Linked DNA regions of Lepisosteus oculatus. The protein of the gene in region 2 purifies or fractionates together with the protein of the main gene of each other region. This does not show direct contact. Links are inferred from orthologs where the notes say so. Each region holds a gene or a part of one and is shown on either strand. Other genes may lie near its edges. The genes, in order: lbr, mad2l1bp and mad1l1.

What was found.
Region 1: the proteins of mad2l1bp (region 2) and lbr purify together in Homo sapiens (co-immunoprecipitation; 3 studies listed by BioGRID and IntAct, counting the BioPlex papers as one, with this or other methods). This does not show direct contact. The link is inferred for Lepisosteus oculatus from reciprocal best matches to the Homo sapiens genes MAD2L1BP and LBR.
Region 3: the proteins of mad2l1bp (region 2) and mad1l1 purify together in Homo sapiens (co-immunoprecipitation; 4 studies listed by BioGRID and IntAct, with this or other methods). This does not show direct contact. The link is inferred for Lepisosteus oculatus from reciprocal best matches to the Homo sapiens genes MAD2L1BP and MAD1L1.

What each region holds. Positions count from the first base shown.
Region 1 is NC_090697.1:58,795,906-58,806,642, forward strand, and holds the start of lbr (delta(14)-sterol reductase LBR), read left to right. Parts: upstream 1-6,551; 5' UTR 6,552-6,888; intron 6,889-10,212; 5' UTR 10,213-10,226; coding exon 10,227-10,391; intron 10,392-10,737. UniProt on the Homo sapiens protein: Catalyzes the reduction of the C14-unsaturated bond of lanosterol, as part of the metabolic pathway leading to cholesterol biosynthesis.
Region 2 is NC_090712.1:640,252-650,250, forward strand, and holds mad2l1bp (MAD2L1-binding protein), read right to left. Parts: upstream 4,486-9,999; 5' UTR 4,272-4,485; coding exon 4,019-4,271; intron 3,404-4,018; coding exon 3,141-3,403; intron 3,011-3,140; coding exon 2,492-3,010; 3' UTR 2,368-2,491; downstream 1-2,367. Other genes in the region: ephx5 (epoxide hydrolase 1), read left to right, coding at 601-709, 1,035-1,160, 1,580-1,790; gtpbp2b (GTP-binding protein 2b), read left to right, coding at 9,050-9,244. UniProt on the Homo sapiens protein: May function to silence the spindle checkpoint and allow mitosis to proceed through anaphase by binding MAD2L1 after it has become dissociated from the MAD2L1-CDC20 complex.
Region 3 is NC_090714.1:1,966,848-1,977,173, reverse strand, and holds the start of mad1l1 (mitotic spindle assembly checkpoint protein MAD1), read left to right. Parts: upstream 1-5,702; 5' UTR 5,703-6,068; intron 6,069-6,596; 5' UTR 6,597-6,632; coding exon 6,633-6,779; intron 6,780-8,096; coding exon 8,097-8,237; intron 8,238-10,326. Other genes in the region: nudt1 (oxidized purine nucleoside triphosphate hydrolase), read right to left, coding at 361-533, 1,127-1,272, 2,100-2,251; mrm2 (rRNA methyltransferase 2, mitochondrial), read left to right, coding at 4,046-4,331, 4,812-5,236. UniProt on the Homo sapiens protein: Component of the spindle-assembly checkpoint that prevents the onset of anaphase until all chromosomes are properly aligned at the metaphase plate.

The DNA.
Region 1 (10,737 bases), on a different chromosome or scaffold from region 2:
AGCTGGACATCAATAGGGTGCTTGGTAAAGCCCCACATGAATACAGTGAGAACATGCACACTCCACACGGACACTCCAAGTCCAAATCAACCCAGCATCTTGGAGCTGTGTGGCGTTGTTCACTTACTTTTGGCATTCGAATAAAAAAAAACAACCATTCTAATTAAATTAAAAATTTGCGTTTGGTTTACAAACACCAAATAAATTCCAAATGCCATCACAGTATGGTTCACAGGACCAGTGGGTTCCTTGATGGTGGGGATGACCGAGAACACAATTCATTGTTTAAAAAAACAAACCATAAAAGACAAAAACTCAATAAAAGATGTGCAAAATAACCACAAGAGCAAGGCTAGCATTCATGGTCTCTGAACCTGTCAAATCTACAGTAAGTCTAACAATATTTTTTTGACTGAGAATGCTGTAAATATCAAGATCATCTCTCTGGCACTTCTAGAATTGGTGGTTGCCACAGGTCTTAATGAAAGGCCAGCAAAGCAAGTTAAAACAAATGAAGTGTGCAGAACACCATGAAAAAATGGACACTGGGAGTAATTGAACCACATGTAACAGTCTGACAACACATTCTTGTTTATTTTAATTACATAAGAAGTACAGTACAACAGACTCCTATCCTATTCAGTTCCCACCTAGGGAATGAGGCTCACTAGATAATCATCCTTTTCTAGTTCTTATTACTTATTCTGTATTTTTCTGTGGACAGAACCAAAACAAAATTTGCAGTCTTTATGCTTTCAATTAAACAGGTATTTAAATGACTTATAACACAATAGCAATGTCTTTGTGAGGATTTCTCCCTGGTACAGTTTTTATCTGTAGATATGTTAAATATACATCTTCTGAAAAATGAAGAATTATAAAACATAAGCCTGATCTAATGATCAAACTTTCAAATGCATATGATGGTGGTATCACAGACCATAGCCCTCACTGATCCTGGACTGCTTGATTCTGTTTTTGTCAAAATAGTACAGGACTATTGCTAATCAGAGTCTATGAACCTGTCATGGTTGTAATTTACAAGTAGATATGAGGTACTGTATGGTAAAGAATGTATACTGCATAAATGCTGTGTTACAAAATAAGGCCAAAAATGTTTTCAAGTAATCTTCTAGTCAATAACTAACTTCAGATTCATTTTGAGGGCCATTGGTGATGACCTCTTTCAAGTTAGTTCTATCTATCCATCCATTTTAACGGCTTTATCCAATAGGATTGTGGGGAAGTTGGAACTTATCCTGACGAGCAATGGGCGCAATATATTGATACTCTTGACAGGACACCAATTCATTGCAGGGCACACTTAGACAAAAAAATGTATGTACACACTCACATTAGGGCTTTTTTTTCCCAGAACCCAGTTAAACAACCAGTGTGTCTTTGGAATGTAGGAGGAAACCTGAGCACCTGGAGGAACCCCACACAAACAGTGAGAACATGCAAACTCCACACTGGTAGCAGTTCAGGAATTGAACCCAGGGCCCCAATGCTGTGAGACAGCAATGCTAACCACTGGCCACCCAGGTTATGTTAACTCTTTTACAAATATATACAGCTAAACCAATCTGATTTACAGGAAATTATTAGACTGCACTTTTGACCACTTTCAAATAACAAACAGGTCTCCTTCCCCTGAGGGGATACAAAACATTTTTGAGCTATAATTGCCTATTCCCTAAAGTGTTCAGGTTTGTCTGTAGTAGAAGAATTGGTCATTGATTTGCAGGTTATTGATTAAAACCAACCATTTTATTTCAAATGCCTTCACTGGCATTTTGTGTAATTTATAAGGTAATGTCATTCTGAGATTACTGGCTGTAACTGAAGATAATATCTTTTCCTTTGATCTTAAACTCTGTGTTCATGTTATCAGATGAGGATCAGTAAATAAATGAGGATTTATTTTGAGGATCAGTCTTTAGATGATTTTAGTTAAAGCCCTCTAGCAGTAAAAAGGCACACCCAAAGAAGGCTCCACAGCCGAAAGGTTGTGTTTTCTTTCTTCTCTTTTCAGCATGGAATAAACCTATTACTTGTTCCAATGTACATGTACAAGTGTTATGATTTAAATAATTTTAAATTAATTAATACTTGTTTAAAAACTTGTGAAACTTAACATAAAATTACAGAGCAGCCTTTGAACATTAAGATTTTTTACAGACACTGTACTAATAAGGTAAGAGATAAAAATCATTTTTAATTCTAAAAGCATGTTACAGATATTCAGTTAGCTAACGGAGTCACTGCATGCTGTAAGAAGCTTAGTCAGTTGGCTCAAGATTAATTGGACACTTTGTATTTTCCGGTTGCTTTGAAACTTAAATGAATACACAAATGGAGCCTCAATGCCTTGCTATATTAACATTGTCATTAAATAGCTGTTCTCTTGCCTCCTGGACGTAGATGATACATCATCTCATCTCATCTCAGCCCATGGACATTCAATGGGCTCAAATCTAGTGTGTAGGGCATGCACAGCAGAGCTGTCACATTCTCATTGTGCATGAAAGCTTTTGTTTAGATGAGCTGCATGAGGACGTCCTTTGTCTTGTTGGAATGTTCACGTCAGCATGGGCTGCAAATGATGGACTTGATCAATGTTTTGCATCCCATCCATCCATCCACCCCCTTCATCCAATTCAGGGTCAACAGGGGAGTTGGAGCCTATGCCGACAAGCAACTGGCAGGATACACCCTGGATGGGATGCCAGCCACTCGCAAGGCACAAACACTCACCCCAGGGCCAATTGAACCAGCGCTATGTGTTTGGACTGTGGGAGAAAACTGAAGCATCCAGAGGGAACATACAAATCTTTAAAGAAGTGTTTCCTAATCCTAGGTTTAATGCCACAGTGTCATGCCGAGATGTTGGTTTAACTTAATTATTACGTGAACTAATACTGTAATTTGTTTAACAGGAAACGTTTCATTGTGTTCAGGTCTTAGATGGGTAGATATTTCAATTTATGAATTATACAAGCATATGAACAACTTGAAGGTTGCAACTGCTTAGCACCTGAAACTATAAATACTGTAATCTCTAATTGGAAATCTGCTGTATGGTTCTCAATTGCATAAGCTTTAATTAAGCCATTCCAGAAATGTACATGTATTTCCTACTTGAAATAGACCCGATTGCAAAATCACTGGGCATTCAGAGAAAAATACACTTAGTTTTTTTGGCTGCCCCCAAGAAATGTCAGGACTTTTCACCAATTTGGAATAAATTTCTTCCTCTTCCTGACAGGTTCTCAGCCCATACCTACCTGCCTGTGACAGACATGTTTTGACAATGTCCTGTTACAGAGTGCTTCAGGGGGTCTGTGAGTAATGTGATTTCAGATGTGACTGGTGTGAAGGAAATCCAGAAGACTTTCCTGGGTTAATGTGCTGTACTCTTATTGCCATTTAACAATGGTAACAGTGGTATCTGAAAAATGTAAGCACAAGCCAATGAGGAAAGAAATCGAGAAATATAATATGCAGCTGTTATATTTCAACGGTTGCGCCTTAATCAGGAAATAAACAAAAGCACTGTTCATGAACGCTCTGCTGTAGAAGCATCCGTTTGTTCAACAGGTGTTCTAAATTCATGCTCTACAATAACCAGCATTATATATTTAAAATCCAATCATAGCCTTGTGCAAGGAAGTGCATTTTTTGTGCAGGCTTAACATTAATTAACACAAAACATAATTGCTGTTTCAATTGCGTCTCTACAGTATATTCACATATTTTTTCAAAATAATCTGCTTTCCAACAAGTTAAGCTTTGCAATACAGCTGAAGCTTGATACAACAGGTAAAGGGCAACAGCTGATATTAAATTCTTTCTTTTTGACGTGCTTTCATAGTAAAAACATGTTTCTCAGGAAACTTCTCAAAGTTGAGCCAGAAAAGTGCATTGGGGGGGGGATGTTTTTCTAAGTGGAAAATCTAGGGGCTTCAGCAATGGATTCCTCTTGAGAGATTCCTTAAGCACTTCCTCACAGTCTGTTTTGAGAATATCGTCTTAAAACACATTATTGAGCAAATAGGCATCTAAACAATCAACATGTAGATGGAACTTCAGACAAAACCGGGACACACCAGTATTATGTAGAATACATACCGTATTAACAGTTCCTTGGACTGGATGGTATTTAACAGGTAAGTATTATACAATGGAACAAGTAATAGGTTTATTCCATGCTGAAAAGAGAAGAAAACACAACATTTGGACCATGACCAAAACCTTGTGTTTTCTTTCTTCTCTTTTTTAAAGCATGGAATAAAACCTATTACTTGTTCCTTTGCAGCCTTCGCATGCTGACGCAGCTACCCACCTGAACTAGTATAATACAATGCTGTTGTCTATACTGTATATATTAAGAGACATTAAAACGCAACAAGTGTCATTGCTTTTGATACACATTTTTACTGCTTCACTCTATATAGAAATACATGTTGTATTAAAGTTAGTAACACTCAGGAAATCTCAACATACATTCATTTTCTAACTGTTTCTTTCAAGGTTTGCAGGGGAGCTGGAACCAAACCGGGCAAACAATCGGCACAAGACAGGGCACACCATAGACAGGACATTAGGCCATCACAAGACAGACACACTCACACCTAGGGCCAATTTTCCCAGAAGCCGGTTAACTTACCGGGATGTTGTTTTTGTTTTTGGAAAAGCAGAGCACCCAGAGAAAATCTACACTCCAGACAGATAGCAAACTAAGTCTGCACCATCATGCTGCCCAGATTCTCCACAATCAGGTGACAAAGAAGTTTCAATAAAAATATTTTCTTAAACTTAAGCTTTTTTTCTCACACAATTTCCTTATACTGTACATTTCTTACACTAAACTAAAACGTGCATTTTAGACACATATCGGTAGCATTTTACAACACCCACATTGGACATTGTCCTTAATTTAACTGTTAATCTTGAGTTGAGATTAGGAAGTAGTGCACTGAGGCATGAATGACATGGCAGCACTTTCAATGGTTTATTTCTTCACATGTTCCTCCTAACTGTAACAGCTGTGACTTGAGTGCACGGTAGAAGGTTACATACCTATATTATATCTGCCTTCTTTAGAGTTTTTTTAAGAATGTCAGAGCTGATGCATACCTCATGCTCCATTCTTTCATTTGATTGGACACATCCCCTTTGTGTAGTACTGTGTTTTTAACCGCTCCAAATATCGTTTTCCAAGATGATTCAGCTCCTGATAAGCCCACTATAGTCTGTGCATATTTATGTATTCACCTAAACAGGTCGGAAAACAGACCCTTTTATGTTTACCAGTATCATGTGATCACACTACTGTAGGTTGGGTCTATCATTGATCTATTTCTGAAACACGGCAACAAATCTGCAATGTCTGGTATCAAGATGTGTTGTATTGTTTTTTGGCAGAGGAAGGGACTGTATTCTGTGAAAAACAATACGTTTTTACATTACATTCTTTTTGGCAAACTGAGAAAATAAAATGGTATTAACAACGAAACCTGGAAGGAAATTGCATTACATTCCAAATCCTATGCCAAAATAGACAAATCATAAATCATTGATTGTCATAGAACTATAGATGATTTTTTACTGTGAATGTGCTGAAGACAAAACGGAGATATTGATTACCAAGACAGAATCTAAATAATTCCAATAAGAGTTGATGGTGATGAGATCTGAAAAAAAATGGATTTTTTAAACTCGCATTTGACTTTTGCTGCAAAAGCCGGGTTTACAAATCTCAAGTAACGGAATGCCCCCTTTTCACTCCTTCGTTGTCCATTTTTATCTTTCTTTAATGCTGTTAGTGATTTTATAAGGCAAGATAATACATACAGATTAGCTTTTGCTTGTTTTGGTCTAGGCTACTGTAAAACCTCAATTTCCCTTCGCGATCAATAAAGTCTTATTCATCTCTTGTGTTGCGTACACATCTATAACTTTTTTATAAATGGGTATTTGCCTAGACCAAATCATAGCGAAATTACAAGAAACAATAAACCAATTTTAGCGTAATGCTCAAGTGCGTATTAACTGACGTTGCCTATCAGCAGAGCAAAGTTATATCAGAGCTACCTTACTGTGTACGTTAGTTTTAGCTACAAATGGAAATGCACAAATGCTAAAATGTTAAGTAATTGAGCACCTCAGTTTAAAATAATAGGATTTCCCGTTGGTTTCCTGAGTGTGTCGCAACAGACTACGGAACACAAGAGATGAATAAGACTTTATTGATCCCGAAGGGAAATTGAGGTTTTACAGCAGCCTAGCCCAAAACAAGCAAAAACAGACGTATGAATTGGCGAAAAATTAAAATACGTACTGTAATACGAAATAAATAGGTGTGTGCAAAATATGCTCATAATCACTTTAAAAATAAAATACAGATATACAAAATGTGCAACGGTTAATTTACGTATACCTTTTTAAACGAAACCTTTATTTCAGTGGATATCACAAAATCAAAGAAAGTCCGCACGGTTTATTCACTCGGTGATCATGCTCTTAAAAGAGGTAGCAAAAGCCTCTCCGCTCCCGCGCTCCGAACACCACTCTCTACCGCAGCCATTTTGTGTCACTCGCCTAAAAGACTCAAAGAGCTGCAGGACAAGCCGGTTTGTTTGACTTCGCCTTAGCTCCAATCATTGTCGACCCGTGATCCCCGCCTCGCCAATCAGCGTCGCTTGAAATTTTCAAACTCTTTCTGACGGACCAATCAGTAGCCTTCGCGCTATCACCGACGCCAGGGGCTTGCCTGTGAGAGGGAGGTGGAACGTACTGTTTAGACTTATAATTATTAATCGTTTTTAAACTAATTACATCACATATTGGGTCATAATCGCTGATTTCGGTGTACGTGACTCCAAGGTAAGCACACTTCATTTTGTTTTCACTTGGTTAGCAGGCTCTGGATTGCAGTAGTAACTTTTGGGTGTAAATTGCACGCCGATGTTGTTTTGTGGTCGCCTCTTCTGCCTCGGGATCCGTGAAGTGAAAACTGGAGCGAAGGCGCAAAACTCGAACCAGAGATCGCGAAAACCCTTCCAAGTTAACCCTTAAGGGCGAATTTTACATGTGCTGGGTTTAACCTGGTGACTTCTTTACTTTCCGCGCTTTGGTGGCGGTTCTCCCTATTTTAATCCCTGGATTGTGGCAATAAGGTGCCTTTTGTGGTTTATAATAACCATTAGAGTCGTAATAATAACCACAGGGATCGGTCGGTATTTTTTTTTTGGTAAACGTGGTCTTAAGGGCGTTGTTTCTCTCATTTCGCGCGAAAGGCCTAATAACATGTCTGTCTTCTCGTTGTTTTTTTCTGCCTTTTCCAGTTTTTGATTTGACTCTGGCGCCAGTTCATGTTCAGTAACTGGGGGGCGACTCGCACCTGCTCAGATTGTTCTTGCATCGTTTCCTGGCGCTCGGCGCTGCACCACACGCTTTATAACTGGGTTTAAACGCCAGCAATGTTTGAATCGTGACGTTTTCCCTCCACTCCGGTGTCACCCGGTTTGTTGTTTGTTAAAGGAGCCGATACTGTTTCGGGACTTGTTTTCTCCCAACGGTGGAGACTTTAATTTCTGAATATTGTTGCCATTCTCTGACCTGTTACTTGGTGAAACTGAAACGAGAGTCCGTGCCCGTCTTCCACCTTTAATTTATATATATTTACCAAGTGGCCTGCATAATTTATAATGCAGACGCCTTTGTACTGTAATTTAAAGTCATTCGATCTGGTCTTTTTATACAAGATGACAATGTTGCATTTAGTAAAACAAAAACCAAGCAGCAATTAATGCCGTTTTATGTTGCTGTACGTATCCACAACCAAACGTCTCTGTAAAATCGGGGTGCAGCTCTTTTCAGGTTGTTTTTATGTCAGAGGTTAGTTGTTCGGCTCATGTTCACTTCAGTTGAACCCACTACAGCAGGTTTGAGAAAGAGCGGCGCTAAACCGGAATTACGTTGGTGACGCATTTTCATTTCTTGCTTTTAAACACCACCGGGGCATCTCTCTTAGCGCGGCAATGCGAGGTTTCATTTTGCTTAAATGTACAGAGAGATACCAGGACACTGTGAGGCCACATTTCCTGTTTTAAGCGAAATTCTGCGGCGCTGCTCGGGCCTCTGCGCTGTACGTCTAACACAACATTTTGCCGTCTCTTGCGTTTATTGGAACAACGTGGCGGACTTTTAAAGTTTGGGCCGCTTTCAGTGTTCAGTAGTCTGGCCGAGTGGAGAAGAGTCTGCGACCACTAACCTCCAGAGGGCCGCCTGTGGGTTTACTTTCATATAAATAAACTTCACTTCTGTCAGTGCAGCCTGAATTTCTCTCAGGTCGTTAAAATGTGAAATCCTTAAGCCGCCCAGAAGAGACTGGGTTAAAGTAATGTAGTGCGAAGCCCCGCCTCTTAGGCTCCCTTATTCCCAGGCCAGGGCGAGAGGTTTTCCCGGCTGCCGAAGTTGATGATAATAAACGTTATTTTATATAGCGCCTTTAAAGGTGGCTTCTCAAAGCGCTTTACAGGATGACAACAACAATAAATAAGAATAATAATGATCACGGAGGAAAGGGAACAAAAGACTCGGACACCCTTAGATCATGTTCAAAGCTAATAAGCCTGCAAACTGGGCCACTGAGATGAGTATCATTTAAGGGATAGATTGACATGTACCGTACTAAAACTCGCCAAGGCAACCTTATGATTTTTTTTTACTGTTCCTGGTATTATTTATTGTAAGATAAGGTTTTCTATATTACGTATGTAACACCGTTGCGATACCAGCTTTCCCTCTTGAAATGTGACAGCAGTGCTGCTTGTGGCTCTGTCAGTTTCCCCATCTGACCTGCTGTTGGACTGTCCCTGGCAATGAAATAAAGTACAGGATCTCGTTTTCTTACTGGTGCATCCAACTCCTGAAATTCCAGTGCTGTCATACTGGAGTACAGTAGTTATATATTTATTACTTATTCTATGGAATCTTTTAGTTTTGAGTTTTAGACATTTACATTTCTATTATTTGTCTATTCTACTAAAGAAATTTAGTAACTGTGTGACTTACTAATGTGATTTCTATTAATATTTACATATTTAGAATGAATGGCTGCAGTGGAGTGAATTATAAACAATCTGCCACTGTCTTCTCCTGGTGTGTGCATCAGCACTTTTAAATTGCTGATTTTTCTTTTCTTCTTGTTCACTTATGGTCTGTTTAACCTAAAAAGAAACATCAACAAAAGAGGCAGTACTGCTGCAGACATTAAAAAATCAAAGAACATAATTACACATCCCATTACACGCCCCCTTGTGTACAAGGTAACTACATACCAAGGATCAGAGTTGTGTGTTTTTGTATGATTGGATAATTCAGGGAGGTCTGATAAAGGACTTTCAGTAAGTATCTGTATGTTGCTGATTGCTTTGTACAATGGCTATTGACAAAGTGAACAAAAGAAGCAGTATTGAACCGTTTTCAAACGTTCAGAGTAACCACGCTGGGAATAGTTGTCAGCAGTTTGGTGAAAAGCACATTGCTCACAAAACTACTTACATCCTAGCTTTAGTATTTGTTACTACTGTATGAGTACAATGCCTCTTTACTGTTTCTTCTGGGATGTTAATTAACTTGAAAAATACTGTTCCTGTGAATTTTATGTCAAAGTAAAAGATAAATACAAGAAGTACAAGACAGTCCGGGTCTGAAAAGGATTTTGTGGGTTCATAAGAAGTCTGCATTATGTTTGAGTGGGAAGCTGTGTTGATGTGTAGCTCACTTGAAAAAGGCTCAGCAGCTGAATCATACTTCAGAATCACAAGTTCTACCATATTCATAGTTTTAGACATGGTTATTAGATGTCAGAAATGTACAATCCTTAAACAGCTGTTGTCATTTTCCTTCAAATTTAGTGCCATGTGGTTAAAGTATGAAATAAGTTGTATTTCACACTAGATGGGAAAGTTATTGCAACACACTGTTGAGTGTTAGGATTAGTTCATTGTAACATTAATTGTACAAATCCTTATAAATTGCTTACTGTTTTGTGACCTAATCTTCCTTAGAGTATCCAGATAAAAGGAGGCTGTTATATGCATAATTTCCCCTGTTCTGAGAAACTGAGTTCTTCCTATTTTCCAATTTCCAGCTGTGCGCCTTAAATTACTTTATTTTTATTTTTAAATTGTTTGTTTCTAGGTAGGTTTTAGACAATGCCGAGCAGCAAGTTTCAGAGTGGGGAGATGGTGATGGGGCGCTGGCCTGGTAGCAGTCTCTATTATGAGGTGAAGGTGATGAATTTTGATGCTCCCACTGAGCTCTACACGGTGAAGTACAAGGATGGCACTGAACTGGAACTGAAGGAATCTGATATTCGGGTAAGATGTCCTGTGTTCTCTAAAGCCCATTCTCTAAAAGCATTGCTTCTCTAAAGCCCATTGTCTTAAAACATTGCTTAAAGTACTTTGTACGAGTGAGGGGGTTTAGATAAGGCCACAATATGCCACAATTACAAGGTTTTGTTCTTAAAATTAATCTGAATTAGTGCAAAGTCTCGATCTCTGGACATGAGCACTCAAGCTTAAAAAAAGGCACATTGCTAACTATTCAAAAAGATCCAAGCTACAGTGGTGCCCGAATGTTTGCGTACAACGGTTTTTCTTATTGATTATGTAAATCCAACTTAAGAACATAAGTTAGAAAGTTACACATGAGAGAAGGCTC
Region 2 (9,999 bases):
AGTTGAACCGGGAGCCCAACTGCTGGGTGAACCTCTGACTGCAGTTTCTTCTGCAGATGAGCTACAGAGCTGTATTGTAAAGTATGTTGTGTCAATTTATATGTAAGGGGGAGATAGCTCTGATTGCACTGCTTCTTTATGATCAATGGTGTGGATGGAACTGTGAGGGTTTTCACACATGGTTAAAATGCAAGTGCTTAATTTGATTATTTAAACTTTATTTTAAAAAAACTTGTTTGTAGACAATAGACAACTCTGAGCACCTACTGTATGAGAACACATAGAAGTAGGACCATGAATAAACAGGTAAAACCCATATTCAGGAAAAGACAAATCCAAAACTTTTCACTACATCAAAACACCTGTTTTATATCTTACTTTGATTAACTGAATTAGAAAAGGCCTCACGTCTGCTGTATAAAAATGTAAATTAAAATAGGGGAATTAAAAATCTGGAAATGAAGAACGTGAGCAGTCAGCCGATATTAGCCCAGTTAATGTTAAACTGGGATGAAAATGATCTGGGAGAACACTGGGCTCTGAAATGCAGCTGGTCTGCTACTCACCAGAGCTCAGAGGGGCTGTGTCTCCCCCCTGCAGGCTGTGGGCTGAACGACTCCCCTGTGGGCCTGGCTGCCTACATCCTGGAGAAGTTCTCCACCTGGACAGACTTCCAGCACAGAGGCCTGGAGGACGGGGGGCTGGAGAGGTAAGAACCTCTTGCTGCTCCCAAAACCCCCTCCAGGGACTGGAATAAATAAAATGCTGACCTCTCTCTACATAGACTGTGAAATTAATGTATATTTGAACATTTTAATAATTTGTTTTCAAAATGCTAAGAGCACAGAACTGGTAGAGCTAAGACCTTGGGGACCAGTGCTGTGTGCAGCAGGTATAAACCAGCACTGGAAATACTGCAGTTGCTCCGGGACCCGCCTCTGCTTAGGAACGAGTTTCAAGAGCTGTGTGACCCGGCGGGGACAGCAGCAGGACACGAGGTGGTTTGTTCACAGGAGATCCGCCTTTTCTTCCAGGAAGTTTTTCCTCGATGATCTCTTGACGAACGTCATGTTGTATTGGACCACAGGCTCCATTGTGCCTTCGATGCGGTTTTACAAAGAGAACCTGAAGGAGAACATTCACAAGAGGGTGGATGCCAGGTGAGATCACTTTCCTGGACACCCTGAACAAGGGGTCTTTACAGGGTTACTCCTTTCAGTTTCTGGCCTCCTCTCCCTTTGGTTCCCAATTAGATAAATCATGCTTGGAGGATGCAACTTCAAAACCTTCATAACAGCGCAGGGAAGCTGTTACTTCCCTCTCCTGTTGGCGCTGTGCAGGCTCCCGGCAGGGCCTCACTGGGTAGAGGCTGAGGCAGGTTGAGGCAGACTAGTGGGTCATGTCTGACTTCCGCCTCTGTCCAGGTATTCAGTAGGGCTCCTGGCCACGGTGCTCGTCTGGGTTAAACAGGTGTGGAACAGCTCTAGCAGGGAGCTGCAGTGCTGGGGAGACAGCAGTGGGTCTGATGCTAAAATCAAGGCCTGTTTTAACACCGTCCCTGGCCTGCGTGTTTTGGCAGGGTGGGCGTGTACGTTCCCACCGGCCTGGCGGCCTTTCCCCACGAGCTCCTGCACTGCCCGCGGTCCTGGGCAAGGTGGCGCTACAAGAACATCGTCTCCTACTCCTACATGCCCCGGGGGGGGCACTTCGCCGCCTTCGAGGAGCCAGAGCTGCTTACCGACGACTTCCGCGAGTTCGCAAAGAAAGTGGAGAAAATTGAAAAAAATTAAGAGGAGGATCCTGCTGGCCTGGTCCTGGAGCACTGCTGCATGTTCTGATTTTGAGATCTGTTACTTACTGACCACTAATTGGCTTTGTTAGTTCAGATCAATGAGATTGTATGAGGCATCTAAACCTGATAGACTGGGTTCTCCACAATGGGCTTGTGATACTGCTGAAGGGGATTCTAAATTAGCACTAATTGTGAAAGGTGACATGATGTTTAGATTAAGAGTTTAACACAATCTGACAACACACTAAACTGCAGCTCTTCAGAAAGGCACTTTACAGCAGATTTAATCTAAACTTTAGAGAAGGCCCATGGAAAAACCATCAGGTCTACTCCTTCTCCACAATAAAAAGCTTCCAACAGCAATGAAACTGACGGCTGCTGCTGTAACCTTCAATGAATTTCCACATCATTAGGGAAGGAAAATCTCACTTCCTGTGCTGCATTCTTTAAAACTTTAATACTTTAAACGAATTTACATTAGAATTGAAAGACATCCACACAACTTACAAGTTAAAAAAACAGCACCGATGGCCTCCCGCACTGACCATGAGGAGGCTCCGCAGAGGTAAAAAGCAGGAAAGGGGGGCTTTCTCCCTGTGCGGATAACCCCCACAGTCCCATGCTGACTCATGCCCAACTTTATTTTGCCACATCGCTTAGTGTAACGCGTATCTCGTCTGGCTCTCACCCCATTGTCTCTCATTTGCAAAACCCCTTGATGACCACAGGCGCCTGGAACCAGATATAATCCTCCCAGTCCCGCTGTTCGCCCTGGGCGGGGGTGGGGGGGTGCGTGTCGGAGGACAGAGCGATCACCTGCCTCTTCGCCCTGGTGGGCACCGTGTAGTCCTGCCTGGGCCGGAACCAGCCCACGCCGCAGTCCCGGTGGCCCAGCACCATGACCGTGGTGGCCACCAGGCTCCTGGGCTGCGGCTTGAACAGGACGTCCGCCACGAAGAGGGTGTGGAAAAGCTGACGCAGGCATGCGGCCGTGCCCAGGCTGCCAGCCTCCTCGCCCAGGACCAGGGCCTCCAGATCGATCTCGAACAGCTCCTTGGGCGCCATGACGTTGCCCCCCAGGAGCAGCAGCACGCGGGGCACCAGGGTGAGGGAGAACAGCACCTCCAGGTTCTGCAGCACCTCCTTCAGCTCCCGCAGCGTCTGTTGACAGCGCCGGCCGTCCAGGCCGCCCGTCTTCATGGGCCTGCGGAGGGCGCCCTGCAGAGGAAGGGCAGAGGTCAGACCTGAGCGGCGCTTCCTGTACTCTTGCTCCGTGCACCGCCCGGAGTCCCGATAGCGAGCCAGGCCCGCGTGTCCGTGCCCACAGGAGTGCGGGCGCCCAGCTCACCTGGCGGCCCGCCGGCGCTGTCGCCTCCTGCAGCAGCAGGAGCTGGTCGTAGGGCGCGGGCAGCTGCTGGCGCTCGTACAGCACGAACTTGAGCAGCTCGCAGGCAAACCTGCAGCAGCTGGTGTGGGCAACGGCACCGCGGAACACCACGCACACACGGCCGTCCTCCGCCTGCGCGCGAGGCCCAGAGCCTCTGGCCGGGGCGTCCACACACCGAGGGCAGCCGGCTGACCCCCCAGTCGCAGTGTCGACTTCCACTAAAACTGAAAGGAAATCACAGCGGAAAATCCTCCTGTCAGGGATTTAATTTTCTACACCACATGCACAGAGGAGGAAAACAACACTGGACAGTCCTACACTGTTGTAAAACACAGGAGCTCAGTAACCCACACTAACCTGGAAGACCATTCCAGATCAGCTCAACCAGAACTTGATTTGTGCTGGAAATACACACCTGGGGGCTTCAGCTCGCCCAGGTCTGAAAAGCTGTAAATTATTCATCCTAAAGAGCTCCCACGTGTGAAACATCAGACAGTTGGACAACAACACCCACCTATTCTCTAGTGCGGGCAATCAGTGACGCCTAGACCAAACTGTCAGGAGCGTTTTAATGACAAATTTAATCTCAAAAGTACAGCCGTCTAGGCTACAGTACACAAAAACGTAGGTCTGTATACTGAATGCCCACACAAACCACAAACATGTTTAAAGTAGTAAAATATTTAATATGCTTATGTAGTTCTTTCGGAAATGAACTTCTTAACCCAATTAAATGATTACTATTAATCTAGCTGGATTCCTATTCCTGATACAGGACACGCGAGGTGTCTGGGCCAGCGGAGGCCCCTGTCCAGCCGGGGCGGCACCGCCGAGCGCACCTGCGGCCTGGCCCGGCCCGGGAAGCCGGTTCTCCTTCTCCTCCTCGCCGCGGCCGCCCGCTCCCGTCTTGCCAGGCAAGGAGACGTCTGTGTTTTCCGACGTAACTGCCGCACCGATGTCCAGCACCGCCATCCTCTGGTCCAGGGGCTCCGGGTCCCGGTACACCGTCACCGGGCTGCCCGGCCGCCGCTGCTCCGCCATCCTCAGCCTCAGCCCCGGCTCGGTTTGAATCCGCCGCCGCGGCTGCGGCATCACGGGAGCCCGCAGGAAGTCGGGTCTGACAGCACGGGGCTCCTCACAGCCCCAGCGCAAAACTCAGCCCCGGCCGTGCCGTGCGCTCTTAATTTTAATCGTATATTTGATTTGGTTTTGTATTGTTATTTTTTAAATCTCTTTCAGGTTTTTAAAAACGCGTCACTTCCTGTACGTCAGACGGACTGCCGAGCCCTACAGTCTGCGCAGCTGCACCAGCGGCAGTCCAGCTGCTGAGGCATACGCCGACGTCTTAATGTCGGACACCGCCTAGACTGTACAGTACACTTCCTTAATTACTCTGGCACACAAATAAGATCTCATTGCCCTCTGTCGAAAAGTGCCGTAGCCCCGGATGCCGCTGAAAGGTAAAATGTAAAAAACATTCCTGACGCCTGGTCACCTCGGCGTGCGGCTTTATTATTAAGATTGTTTTATTTTCTGCTCGCTCTTCTTGAATCTTGAATAAGGGAGCGGTATAACCTATTGGGTTTGAACACAACAGCGGCAGGTTGCGGGTTCGAGTCCCTGCTGCAGGCGCTGCTGGTGTGCCTTGAGTGAGATACTGTACCCCATTTGCTCCAGTTCACCCAGTTGTGTAATAATAAGTTGGGGGATAATTCCTACACGGAGGGGAGTCACGTGCTCTCTCGTCCGCTTAACTCGCTGGAAACCGGGCTGAGCTCCAATCGACGAGCCGCTGTGGACTTCATCTTTCTTATCTTTCACGAATAAAGATGTCATGCCGCTGGTCTTCAGGTCTATCTCACGCCTGACCACAAGGCGGCAGCAGTCTTCCACTGTCTGAGACACTGTCCACCTTTAATACTTTAATTTCTCTGGGCGCACACAGTCAACGTTTTCACTGTCTTTACTAGTCATCAGGACTCCACAATTGTCATGCAGACATAGAGAGCAGAAGAGTAAATCTCAATATTACCAGTTATGCTTATGGATATCCTCAGTGTTAAGACACGTAGTGCAGCAAATGTACAGGGCGGAGTGGTGGCTCTGTGGCTCAGGATCTGCGCCTGTGGCTGGAAGGTTGCTGGTTCAAGTCCCGTGGCTGGCAGAGGAATCCTACTCCGTTGGGCCCCTGAGCAAGACCCTTCACCCCAGCTGCTCCAGGGGCGCCGTATAAATGGCTGACCCTGCACTCTGACCCCAAGCTTCTCTCCCTGTCTGTGTGTCTCATGGAGAGCAGGCTGGGGTTTGTGAAAGATGAATTCCTAATGCAAGAAACTTTATATGGCTAATAAAGTGATCTTACTAAGATACAGAACACACCTTAAGACAAAATTAATTTGTATCAAGGTTTTTTTTGTCGAAATTGTACAATGCATACAGGGAGGAGGTTGAAACCCTGACAGCATGGTGCCAGGAGAACAACCTCTCTCTTAACATCAGTAAGACAAAGGAGATGATTGTGGACTATAGGAAACATCAGGGAGGAGACCACACACCTATTTACATCAATGGGACTGCAGTGGAGAGGGTCAGCAGTTTTAAGTTCCTGGGAGTTAACATTTCAGAGGACTTAACCTGGACCCACCACACCAACACCGTGGTCAGGACAGCACGGCAGCGCCTGTTCTTTCTCCGCAGGCTAAAGAAGTTCAGCATGCCGTCACATATCCAGGCCAACTTCTACAGGTGCACCATTGAGAGCATCCTGACTGGTTGCATCACTGTCTGGTATGGGAACTGCTCCGCCCGGGATCGCAAAGTACTGCAGAGGGTGGTGAAGTCAGCGCAGCTTATCACCAGCTGTGAGCTACCAAGCATCCAGGAGATCTACTCAGCTAGATGTCTGAAGAAGGCCAGGTCCATTCTCAAGGACCCCAGTCATCCCAGTCACAAACTGTTTTCCCTCCTACTGTCTGGTAAACGGTACCAAAGCATTCGGTCCAAGTCCAACGGACTACGGAACAGCTTCTACCTCCAGGCAATAAAACTGCGAAATAGCCAATCTGCAGCTCCTTTATCAGATCACCTGTAATGGCTACATGGACACACAGTTTTCACTGTATTCAGCATAACTGCACTACATGTATATATTGCATACACCATGGAAACATAACAGCTCTACTCATATTGAGTTTTATTCAATTTCAAAAATGTAACCTCAGTTTTGTGATTTTTGTGTTTTTGTGAATTTTGTGATTTTTGTGAGCTCGCAGAAAAAGACATTTCATTGCCAGCAACTACTGCTGCACGCTGTATTGTTGTGCATTTGATAAATAAACTTTGACTTGACTTTGACTTGACTTGATGTACCAGAAAGACCTAATTTAGCATGTTGTATACAACTGTTATCTGTGTGTTATAAAATTGTTGCTCTGCAATCAGCCCAGAATAGAGTAACCACATACATTCCTGAACTCAAAGGAATGTCCTGCACTGTCGGGCAAAAGGACCTAAATATTTCTAGGCTTGTACAGAGAATACCTAATACAAATATTCAAAATCCTGAAATGAACTCCAGCCCAGTGGAACAGCGAAACACAAACCACAGGACACAAGTGGAAACTAGGTAGGAGTGCATTTAAAACCAAGAACAGGAGACATTTCTTTACGGTTCAGTTCAGTACTTCATTGCCAAGTCAAAGAACCTGATAGAGATTTGCTCTACTGCAGCCCCGATTCAAAGAAGAAAAATGTTACACTTCCACAGACAACATCCTGAGGTGTCTAATGACAAAAAGAGTTGTGAGAGTAGGGAACAGGATACTCTGTCATGTTTCTGAAGATGATAGCCTGGCTTCTCCCAAGACACAGCTGGATGAGATCCTGTGATCCTGAGATCACTACAGTATGTTGTGTGGGCACGGGCAAACTAGGAGACTGTCTAGAGCAATCAGGGATCCCCCTTAATGTGCAACACAACATTTTTTTTACTCAGCATGTTCAATTTGTGAGTGAAAAATTCCCTAGTGTGGCACTTTCTGTTGCTGCTGTTGTTGTGTTGTATTTGTAGCTGATACTTGTAGTGTCTGTGCAAATCGTGATCAGGGGAGTCTGCTGTCCAAGACCTTGCCTAGGGCCTGCAAGTATTTTTTTGTTGAACTAAGAAAACATGTTGGCGTTTGCAACCTAGGAGTAGTTTCACAATGAGGACAACAATATTGCTGGCTTCATTTGATATTCTTCACCTCTAACCTCACCCATTGCTGACGCAAAGACAGGCAAGAGTCAAGCATAGACATCCCCTCTTCTGTGGGCGGGGATTCTGATTTGAGTTGTAGCCAATAGGAGGAGAGATTGGGTTAAGAACCCAGCCCACTTTTGGTTCCTCATGAATATTCAGTGATCACTGATAAGGATCTCCATGGAAACATTTCCATGTGGATAATCCTAATGGAAGCCCGCTCAAAAAATAACCAATCATAACCAATAACCAAATAAGTTTCTGAAGCGCAGAAAAGAAGAGCAGGATAAGCGATCTCAAAACAGAGGTACGCTCCAATCATTTTAATAATACATCATTTGCATGATAATGTAATTTGGATTTCATTTGCTTTTGAGTCTATCAGATCCATGTTAGTAGCAAATAGTAGACGAACCACATTTTCAAGATCAAGATGTAGACTACGAGAGGTGTTTTACTTGAAGTTAACAGATTCATGTTTCTCTAATTGTACACAAGCTGTGTGGGATACCTGGCTAAAAATCAGTGCTGCTAGGCCAAACAAAAGCTTGAAGGTGAATGCGCAGTACAAAAAACTGTTCAGTGTTTATACGTGATCAGAGTTAAAACATATTTGTTTTCCTTGGGGTTTCTGCTGTATTTCAATGAATGGGGGTATCGTGAACCCAACCTGTAGCCCTTCAGATTGCAGTCTCTCTCCCAGTGACAGTGGCAGGAGCAGAGAGGAGCTGCTCAGAGCTCAAGATGATTAAAACACTCCTGAGGTCAGCCTTGGCACAAGGCCATCATGAGCATCAGTCACGCTGTGGGTCGACTACTATGGCATGAAGATGCAATTGATGATTTTGCCTCCCGAAAATCTAGTCGAATGATTTATAGAACATTTTTTTGGATGCTCCCATTTGCTTGGCCTGTTATCTTTGTAAAATGTATGCTTCTTGTTCTTGTCTGTAACATATTATGTGCTCTTCAAAGTTGAACAGTACGTTTTCCAGTTAAATAATTAATTTATTTAATGGTTCTAAACAGTAAAACAAGGTTGTGTTGGGAGCTGATACTAGTAATGTCTGTGCAAATCATGAATAAGGGAGGCCCCTTTCCAAGACCTTGCCTAGTGCCCGCAGGGAGCTTGGGCCGGCCATGGTTTTTGTTTTTGTTGAACTAAGAAAACATGTTTTGGCATTTGCAACCTAGGAGTAGTTTCACAATGAGGACAACAATATTGGTGGCTTCATTTGACATTCTTCACCTCTAACCTCACCCGTCGCTGATGCAAAGACAGGCAAGAGTCGAGCGCAGACATGCCCTCTTCCGTGGGCGGGGATTCTGATGTGAGTCACAGCCAATAGGAGGAGAGACTGGATTGAAATCCCAGCCCACTTTTGGTTCCTCATGAATATTCAGTGAACGTCATCGAAAATATTTCCCTCTCTGTCATCAGCCTTGACGTATATCCGCTTCAGTGAGCTCAGTGCTGAGGTATCGTTTTCGGGTGCAGAGGGGGTGCAGTGTTTTTGTTTTTATTCCCTCTCTGTAGCCCAGCAGATGCGTTACCGGCGCTGTCCCGGTTTTCGGAAGTCGAAAGAGCCGCGACGCATCTGAGGGGGAGGAGAGAGGCCGCGGCCGCAAGATGGACTCGCGGATGGCGGAGCTCTTCGGTACCGGCTCCGGCTTGAAGTCGGGCTCGCAGGGACTGGCTGCCGGTTCGGGGAACGGGTTCGGGATGATGTCCAAAAAGTCGACCTCGAAAAACGGCAAGAAAGCGAAGAACCGGGCGAGCAGAAGCACGAAGCCCAGCAACAACCCGCCGTACCTGCCCCCGGAGGTGAGACCGCGGAGCGAGCGGAGACCGGGTCTCGGACCCAGTCAGAACCCGTCCGGACTGCAGCATGTTTGTGCTGAGCCGCAGTTCGTGTTCCAGACTTGCTTTCTGTTTCGGATGAGCAGATACGAGCTCCCGCGATGTTACAAATGCATGTAATTTACAAACAGGAAGGCAGCTGGCTGGGCTTGAGCGTTTTAAACCCGTGAGGTTGGGGTTAACTCAGAATAACAGCCCTGAGATGTGGTTAGGAATGAACATTAAGACGACAGTAGTCATAGTATCAACTACTATTATTTTTTTTTCGCTAAGTGAACCAATAGAGGGAGAGAGTGCTGTCAGGGCACAGGACGGAAGAGAGAAGGTTGTTTGATTGTCTGATTGTGGACAGTCAGCTGACAGATGTTTTCTGTGTCCTTGTTGTTGTTGTGTTATATAGTTGTTTTTTTCTGTTGTAATACTACAATAATAGCTATACAGCTGTTTATCACGTTTTGTAGTTTGTTAGTTGTCTGTTGTTGTGCTTTGGCGTTATGGTAATGTTGTGGTTCTTAGCCCTGGTCCCGGATTACTCCTGTGTGTCTGCTGTTTTTTTTCCAGCTGGGTTCTTAATCACTAGCAAATTTATTTTGATTTCTGATATTCATCTGGACTGAGGCAGAAGAAAAGACACTGACACAGTGATACAAGGAGAATCTGACACAGTGTCACTCTCACCTGTGTGTGTTCATCTTAAGTCGGTCACATGTTAAGAGCAG
Region 3 (10,326 bases), on a different chromosome or scaffold from region 2:
CTTTCAAGTCAACATTTGTAAGCTTTCAAAAACACAGCACCTTATTCCAGCTGGTTTCTTGGCAGTTCAGGAAACTTCATGAAACTGTTTGGAAAAGGTTTGTGACTTCAAACACAGAATTAAACTTTGTGAAGAGCCCTGGAATGCAACAACCAAGAAAGGACAGATCAGCTGTTTAACCCTGAATCTATGCCAGTTACAGGACGCAAGACTAAAACCCAAAAGTATATTTAACCTTAATGTCTTATCAACCGTTATGGTACAGTATACATAAGGAGATTTTATATCTTGACAAGAGAACCATCTACCAGAAGGTATCCAAGTCCTTTAAGGTCCCATGGTCCCATTATCCAGATTATTTTACAAGCTTTGCACTTCTTCCAATTTGTGCTCGAGAATTATGTCATGTCCTTGAAACTTAAAATAGCCCAAAAACTTCTTCTTTTGCAGCATCAGAGGGAACCACAAAATGTCATCTGGCCACATCTGATCAAAGGGGATTCTGTCCCGGTCAAACCACTGTGGTCGCATTTCTTAAACACAAACAATACACAAACACATACAATAACACTTTAAAACTTTAAAAATTCACAAAATGAACAATTAGTGAATAAGATAACACATAGTCAGCGTTTCTGCATAGGCAGAGCCGAAAAGCTAAAAACAAAGCTTAGTGACATTTTGTATTAATCTTAGTACTTAATACTAATCTTAGTATTATTTGTTATTGTATTATCAACATGTACATTATATCCCTGCACTAGGGTTTTCTTTTAAAAAAGCTGCCTCCTGATCAAGATTTGGAAATAGTAACGTGTTCAAAACCTACGCACAGTAGAGTTTCACTGACTTTTCTCAACCTATCAACATCGTTCATAATGCCAACAAACATAGCTTTGAAAGGAAGCAGATATCTGAAGGAATTTTACATCAAAGTAATTTTACTTACAGAATCTCTCCTGGACTTGACTTACAGTGCATGGCGACGATGATTGAATTTGATCACATTGCCATACCAGAAAGAACAGTCCAGATTACAATTCTTTATGTTTTTAATGGAAAAAAAGGCAAATTCAGGTACAGGGCTTTAGACTGCAGACAAATGCGTCCGATAATAAAATCTCACCATCCGATTCGGCTGGCTCTCCGTGGAAGCTGTCAGCCCTGAAAATATGAACATCCAGCAGTTCCGTTTCTCCGACAAACTCGAATTTGATTTCTCCAATCTTCTCGAGGGTGTCAGCTGTTAGGCTGCTCTCCTCCAGCAACTCCCTGACAAAGCAATACCGTCCATTATGCTCCAGTGCAGGGAAAAAAAATAATGCTAGTTGTCACTGCAGAGCCACTAAAATTGAAATGTGTCTCACTTCTCAATTTAAATGTTTAAACAAAATTCTCTTTCCAGCAATGGGAAACCAATTTTTAGCAGCCGACATTATCTTGCATTCAGCACAAGATCTAAGTTAATGCAGTTTAATAACGTAGGTTAATGATGTCAAGCTTACACTGCGGATGCCCAGCCCTGGTCCTGAAAGGTCAGTGCGTCTGTGTATTTTTATTCTGGCTTGAAAACCAGCTGACACGCCAGCCCTCCATAACCAAAACTGGACAGCTCAAGTGCAGAGGTACTGTATGTGGTTGTACACACATCTGGAAATCAATTGTGCTGAAACGGTAGGTACACTATCGGAAGATAGGTCTTTGGTAGTTTTTATCACTACCAAGCACGACCCATCTGATTCAGGCTTCTGCTGGCATTTTAGTGGGGCATTATTTCATTAGACATTTTAAGGTAAATTTAAGATCATGAATGTTTACTGATGCTTTACCAATCGTGAATTCAAATGAACCAAATTAAGTGTACGTAATATTTAGTGGCTCAACTATAAGTTCTGCACTGAGGGATCACTGTTTTATTCCTACGCCCCCCCCAAAAACACTTCTAAAACATATGTACCTTTTGTTGTATTTCAAATAGTTCATATTTTAAAAAAATAAACTTAAGCTTAAACTGAAATGTTTGTGGGTTTACCATATTTGGGTTTCGCTTATTTGAATACCTTCTGTGGGGTATGAGGCTTCCTCGTGACTGGACTCACCGCTTCGCTGCTTGCTCGATTGTCTCTCCCGGCTGAACTTTGCCCCCAAAGCCGTTCCACTTCCCTGCGCCAAAACCACGCTTCTTCATGCCCAGGAGAACCCGCTGAGGCTGTACCACCATGACCAGGGTCAACAGCTTGGTAGTGATCATTGCGCTGCTGCAGGGAAGGACACACACACGACTGAATCCCTCTCCGCGCTCTAATGTCACGGGAGAGACAGTGACCAGGATCACACTCTCATGTCAAGCACCTGACTAAACACCTGTGGAAAGATTACTGTATGAACGCCGCTGACCCCCAGACGTTGCGCAGTGTGCAAATGGACAAATTGGGGACTTAATTTTGGAAGCGCTCGTGCACACGGACACAAACTTTAAGTTCATAAAAAAGGCATTTGTTTCAGGGCACAAGCCCTCGGACAGAAGCCCTTCAGCTGTTCAGAAAGACACCAGCTCTGCCGGTTCCATTGCTTTATGACGGCTGCAGGTCTGCGGTCTGAAATCCTGAAACAATTGTTTTAAAAACAACAGTTAACACTTGCATACCATATTATCACATTTATTCTTCAAAATTTATTTGAACACTACAGTTCAGACTACTCCAAGTTATATATGTCCATACAGTATATATGACATTTTCAAATTACTTCTATGGAATGTACTTGATTCTGAACAGTGAGATACTGCATTGCGTGATATTATTTAGCACACTACTTTATGCCTCAAAACTGATTATTTTTCACAGTTTGTACGGTAAGGTGCCGTGATCATTGCCGGGACAATTGCTCTGAAAACAGATTGGCCAGACAACGTACAAATTCCCAGAAAAACGTTAATTAAGTTTTAGTGTAACAAGAACAATGTCACTGTGCTGTATTTGCATAGCCTGCTCTGTACATTTCTCGACACCGCATTCATTCACATCTCAATACAGTTAACTTCTTTTGTCACAGTAATTGCCTTCCTAACTACTATAGACGTCACCAGCTCCGGATAATACAAGTACATCCTTGCATATAGTCAGATAATTTTCTATGGACATGCATGAGCAATCTGAAAGTGACCTAAAGGCTAAAAAAAAGTGAATTGATTAAACAGAACAAGTCTCATACCCAAGAACGATACCATCTAAAGTATGTGTGAACAATAGCAGCAGATGCACATTCAGTAACTCTGCAACAGCTGCCTCTTCCCTCGAAAGTCAGTCCAGCGGGTAGCCACACACATGACTCCCCAGCTCACTGTAGGCGTGCCACCCTGAAACCTGTCCGACTGGAAACACGGGGAGGACGTGCGGGAGGTCATATGTGACGGAAGCGTGTTCATCCTTAATGTTTACGAGTACTATCAAGGTCCCTTTTTAAACGTGCTTTCAGAGAAAAGGTGACATTTTGCAACTTTTAACGTAAAGGCTTCATGTAGTTTTAATTATCGATGTTATTCATAACTTCGTTCTACCGCTTTTGTACGGATTCAAAAATCTCAATGCAGCCCGGTGCTATTCCTGAATTGGTTGTAGTGTAATATAATTTGCAACCAATAATTAGTAACCCACTAGCATCTCAGATTAAGTGATTGCATTTTCCCCTCAAAATGAAAGTGTCTGAGGTCTGCTAGTCCTACCCTCTAAAACTTAAGCGGTTCAGTAACAAATTAGGACTCGTTTGACATGACAGGTCGGTTCAGTGGGTCTTGCAGAAATGAAGCTGAGGTTCGTATTAGGAATGGACCTCAGCCTTTTGGATTAAAACCATTTGTTTTGATCAAGTAGATCAATAGAAAAAAAGGCTGAAATCAGCCCTGCTTTGAATAAAGAGTTGATGTGTAGCTCAGTGGTATGAAACTTTACCGTACAGTCACGGCATTGTACACTCTATACGTACAAAGTTTGATCAGCGACCCTGCGCGTTTTGGACTTGTTGCGATGTGTTTCCTCTCCCAGGGATGCTGCGCAGGGCTCTGCACGCCTCGGCTCGGTGCTGGAGGAAGAGCCCACACAACACGAAAGGCAAGAGCGCTCCGGAGCAGCGATGGATCGCCAGGCAGATCAACGACCCGTATGTGAAGGCCGCCCGCCGGGAGAGCTACCGCTGCCGGAGCGCCTTCAAGCTGCTGGAGATCGACGACCAGCACCGCATCCTCAGGCCGGGGCTCCGCGTCATTGACTGCGGCGCAGCGCCGGGGGCGTGGAGCCAGGTCGCCGTCGAGAGGGTGAACTCGTCGGGGGCAGGTGAGCGCATGTTTGGTGTGTTTTAAATTGGGGTCTGACTGCAGCCCAACACAACATCGTCTTACATTACAAGCGCACACCCTGTGTAGTTTCGGTGAACTGGATGAGATGGGGTTAGGGCTTGGCAGCTTCCATAAGGATCAGGGCAGATGGGAGTTTAGCACTTAAGACGGCCTTGAAGCCAGCATGCACCTCGGTTACGTCAGCACCAAACTGGACCGTCCTGGCGCTGCAGGTTTTGTGGGGCTCTTCAAAGACGCAGCAGCTGACGAGCTGGGAGAAACTGTTCAGTTGGCCCAGTGTAGGCAGGTAGCTAGTCACCGCCTGGTTTAGCTCGTGAGGCGCTGGCTTGGAATGAAAGCACCCAGACACACCGGCCCCCCAGGACTTGAGTTGCCCACCCCCGCATTAGAAGCTCTGTGTACATGAACACGGATGAGACTGGTTCAGCTTGTAGTGCTGCCTTCTCCCTTGTTTCAGATCCCGGATTGCCGGCGGGCTTTGTCGTCGGAGTCGACCTCCTGCGGCTCGCGCCCCTGGACGGAGCGCACTTCCTCTCCCCGTGCGACGTGACGGACGCGGCCACTCCTGCCCGCCTGCAGGAGCTTCTCCCGGCCTCCGTGGCCGACGTCATCCTGAGCGACATGGCGCCCAACGCCAGCGGCTTCAGGGAGCTGGACCACGAGAGGCTGGTCGGCATGTGTCTCTCCCTGGTGGACATGGCCGAGGGGGTCCTGCGTCCGGGAGGCACTCTGCTGTGTAAAGTCTGGGACGGAGGACTGGCCCATCAGCTCCACAAGAAGCTGGCGCAGGCCTTCAAGGAAGTCAGGACCATAAAGCCTAAAGCCAGCAGGAAGGAGTCCGCCGAGCTGTTTTTCCTGGCCAAGAGTTACAAGGACAAATGATTGTTAGCATTTTCCTCCAGTTTTTTCAATTGTTTAAAAAACTGGAGTTTTGTGAGATTACAATTGGGAAAAAAACTTCAAAATGATGTGCACTTTATCCCAAGGCCAGCAAGAGACGTTGCCAAAATTGAGAATGAAAAACAAACAAACAAACATGAGTTTAACATTTCATTGCTGCAGACACACTGTAAGGGCCTAAACACGAGACACTGTAAAGCCTTAAATCTTGGTTTCTTGGGTTTTATTTTATAAACAGATGATGAACCTATTGTTAACGCAATGTAATTTTATTTGAAGTGACAAAAACGTGTTCGGTTTCACTGGACTTGACATCATGACCTTTGTATTAAACTACAGTACGTACTTCTTTCTGTAACGTATTGCAGGCCTGTGATTTATGGTGTTTGTTTGTGTGTGTGTGTGAAGAGCAGAGTTTTATACATTTCAAAAATAAAACAAGGATTAGATTTGTGCAGTTGGTGAATGGAGAATGATATGGACTAAAAGGAGATCCATGCTATAAACTCCCCATTTGTATTTTGTTGTTTTAATATATAATGTTTCCCCAACTAAGAAGAAATAAACCGAGTACTGCCATCCAGTAATAGTAATAAATACATGTTTTAGGGTCTGGGCAGCATTTATTACATTTGAACCACTGCAAATTTCAGAAATCCTATAAAAATGGTGAGGGTGACTAGGTATTACGGTAAACGATCATATCCTTTAAGCCCCGCTATTATATTCGTTACGCTCAAGCATCTAGGAACTCTCGCGAGAAGGTAGATCTGTTCTGGGTTGGAGGAGGGAGATCCAAGCAGTAAGGAATAAGGTATCATCGAAAATTGCGTGTTCTCAAAAATGTTACATGTTTTTGACATGGTCGTGTTTTTTTGTAAAGTAATATGAGTTGTGCTTAGACAGCTGAAATTTTGGTTTATTACATGGATGCATGTTTTGGAAATTTGGTTGACCCAAACAGTTGTGCATATATAGTTTAAGTTTTCTTGTGTACAGTACTCGTGTGCAACACACTGGCCAAGCAAATGCAAACTTCAGCTTGCTTTTCACGTGCCTTTATCGCAAACATTAAGATATTAAACCGTTAAAATCCACTTTATTGCACGAGTGAAGTCATTTGGAAAGCTTAATGATGACCTTCGACAATACTACGAAAACATTGCTTGGAAATCTGTTCCTGCTTTTATTAAAAAAAGGATACTGAGCATAATGGAGCAGTCATAACACGATTTATAAACATAAACAACATTTTGAAACTTTGTTGAGGGTTGTTTGCTTTGCAAGCGGTAGCGGTGAGAGCTTGGCGGACACTTTTCAGGTGCGTTTCTTTGCCTTCCAGATTGTTTTCTAAAGAAAAAAGTAAAACCAGTTCAAAATGGACAACATGCAGGACAATACCACCGTCTTCAACACTTTAAAGTCATTTGAGAGTTTCCTCTCGCAACATGACGCTTCAACGAGCCAGCCTGAAACCAGCGCGAGTAAAAGTGACCTGCAATTCCAGTACAACTACCAGTTTAAGGTGAGTACAGTTCTCTAGATAAGCATTTGAGCTCAGCCATGCAAGATGCATACAGTGAGCTTATTAGATTGTGCACGATTACAAAATTAAAATGCATGATTCTCAAGAAATCAAATATTATTTAACTATTTGGTCTGAAATGTTTTTTTTTTTAGTAACAATGTTAGATCAACACACCTTTGGACAGTATGTTACATTGATTGTTTTTTTAAAAAAACATTACTGATTTTTACATCAGTAAAGACTTTCTCTGCATTGTAAGTAATGGAATTAATTTATCTTACTTTGCCATGGGGAAATTATTTAATGTAGATTTGGTATGAAGGTTCTTCATACCAGTTTCAAATTGGTGTCTGGTGTTAAGAGAGCTGTTTGGATTCTCTTGAGTGCTGTTAAAAATCCACATTTTCAGCCTCACTATTAAGAGCAATCTATATGTTACTGCGAAAAGCAGTTAATAAAACTGTATTTTTGTGAAAGTACTATATAGTATAAGCCAGTTCAGTAGCAGATCAGTCTCAATCTTAATCGAGACATTAATTAAACTATAACCTCTCATTCGGCGTCAAGTCAACCAATGTCCCGGAGAATCCCTGGCTCGGGATTTTGCATTTTCTTTGTATCATGGACGGTAGAAGTTTTCATTCAAGTAAAATGAAACTAATGCACATACAGAAAGTGAAAACAGTGTAACATTGGAAACAGTGTTTCCGTGATTGAATCAAGTAGATCCACAAAGACAAGGAGTCCAACCAAATGAAAACTTAACGAAAGTATAAACACAAACGTTGAACTGGACACATCTCACTGGTTGGCCGGTCTCGACTCCCAGTCAGGCCACAGCGAGAGAACAACAGTCTGGCACGACGCTGTCGTCCCCTGCAAGCTACTGCAGTAATGTCCCCACAACCGGCGTTCACGCGTGCAGCAGAGACATCTGATCACGTGGCCCGTGATCATGAACCTTTCACCTCCACGCAGACAACAGCTCCTCTCTGGGGTTGAGGCAGGGGGAACGGGGTGGAAATTCCATGGCCGTGCGCTGGCAGGTAGCGAGCCATTCGCTGAATGAAGCAGGGTGGAGAAAGCTGACTTTATCCCACACCACTACTCAGTTTGGCACATCAGCCATCACCACCTCTCTCCGATGACCAGGTATAAGACTGTTGCACAGTGCATCCAAGAAAACTAGCACATGGCCTGTGCTGTAGGGCTCAGTGTTGGGGATGTGGGCACTAACACCATCACCTGATACAGCAGTGCACACAGTTATATTAACAGCTTGTAACAGCTGTGTGACTATCGATGTATTTCTAGGTGGAAGAGGAAGCTCAGAAAATCTTCTCCAAGACCCATCTTTTACAAATGGCCCAAGAGAAGTCGCAGATGGAGTTCAGTCACAAACGTGCCCGCATTGAGCTGGAAAAAGCAGCCCACACCAGTGCCAGGGACTTGGAGGTGAGCCCTGAAGATGCAGTTCTGATCTCTGTGTTTCATTCCGCCAGGGGGTCTTAAACACAATTCTGCATGGTGGTCGCTCTCAAAGTTCAGCTTTGTATCTTCTGGTTTTTGTTCTGTGGTCTCAGATACTGTCATTTCACACTCGGGTCCAAGTTGTTTTATTGCTAATTCTACTTTTAAGAAAAGGACTGCTCTGTGTAATCACCTGTAAAACAAAAATCTGCTGTATATTTAAGATAATTACGTGAAGATGGGCAGTAGGACCTGAGTCTGAATAGAATGAAAGTAGAAATTCACAGAAAGGTTGTCTATCTTTCATGCTGTGTTTTCTTTTTCTCTGACTCCATGACATGAAAAATTGTTCAGAAACAAGCCATGCAAAGAACTGGAGATGGGGAATACAGAGTATTGTTTTTGCTATATAAATGTATATAATCGTTCTGCCATGCATGCCTTGCTGCACTTTGAAGAATAGAGCGTTTGAGATTGTTTGGTATATCAGAGCCCCCACCTGAGGAGATAATTACTTTAAAAATCCTGAACCCTGAGTAGGAAATTGCAGAGAACGATATTTATAGTTTTTTTCAAAAAAGAGACGAGTGTTGTAGGTGCATCTGAATTATTATTTCTTCCTTCACAAATAGCTCAGTTTGTTACAATTCAGTACATTTGAAATGTCAAACAGTTTCTGCTATTATCGGCCTGCCTGTATCACGTATTTTAGTAGTGTCCATTATATGTGGCTTTCCTTTTTAATTCACAGATTTTTTTGTGGGCTTAATTCATAATTTTGATCAATTTTGTGCCATCACGTCATATAGATGGTTTTCAACGGTGGATATTTGTATGCGTGCCCCTTAGGGTTACTTCAAAGGAGCTTAGGGGGCAGGCAGAGTAAAGGTACAAAAATACGCACATCATCAGGATTGTTTGGTTTTGTGTTATTTTCATGGAAGACATGTGATTATGGGCCGTATAGTGGCGCGGTGGTTAACATTGCTGCCTCTCAGCACTCGGGCCCTGGGTTCAGTTCCGTACCTGGGGTGCTGTCTGCGTGGAGTTTGCATGTTGTCCCTGTGCTCGTGTCCCACAGTCCAAAGACATGCTGGTACAGTAGGTTAACTGGCCTCTTGGGAAACTGGGCCTGGTGTGAGCGAGTGAGTCTGTGTGATGGACTGGTGTCTAGTCCAGGGTGTATCCTGCCTTAGTTGCACCTGTTTGCTTGCCGGGATAGACTCAGTACTGATCAGGGCACTGTAGAAAATGGATGGATGTATAATTGTACATTTTATAATTTCATTAATCTATTGTACAGTATTTTGAAATGACTTTACAAAGCCAATTGGAAACAGACCTTGACTGTTCTGTACCTGAATATTTCTGAATGGTGGCTCAAGTGAAAGTCTGATATCACATTGTTAGAAAGCACATAAAATTGGAAAAACAAATTAATTATCACCATTAAGCCATGTTGGTAATGAGCAAGTAGAAAAGGTTAAAAAGATAGCATTGTTTCAGACAATACCCTTATTGGAAGGATAAATGGGAACTTGAGGCACAAGTGTTTGAAAGATTGCAACAGCATCTGCATTTCGGGTAAATGAAACGAAAGACCCTGGAAACCAGGTTGAACTACGATGAATCCGTTACATTTGGGAAAGAAAGAGATTTTCTGTTGTCTTGCAGTGCCACCAGACATGTTTGAAGTGCTGTAGGAGTGAGTGGCATTTTGTGGGATGCGCTGGTGTGGGTAACCTTCAGCACAAATGGAACAAGGCTAGTGATGGCTGGTAAAATTAGGAGGAGTGCAGGAATAGAACAGGTGGTACCAAATGTTGTTTCATCCCGATACATGGAGAAGCACATGGAGAAGTCCCATTTTGAACTGCTTTACTCTCTGTTGTCCATTTTACCTACCTAAAAACTGGGCCACTGGCTTTTCTGCAACAGAGTGGGTTCAAAGTGCTACTTCCCACTGCGTTCTGTAGTTTCCCGGCTCTCCTCTGGGTCTCTGTTAAGAAGGGTGCTTGATCTGCGAGTGGGGCTCCCCTCGGATCATGATTCTGCCCCGGTGGCTTATTTCAAA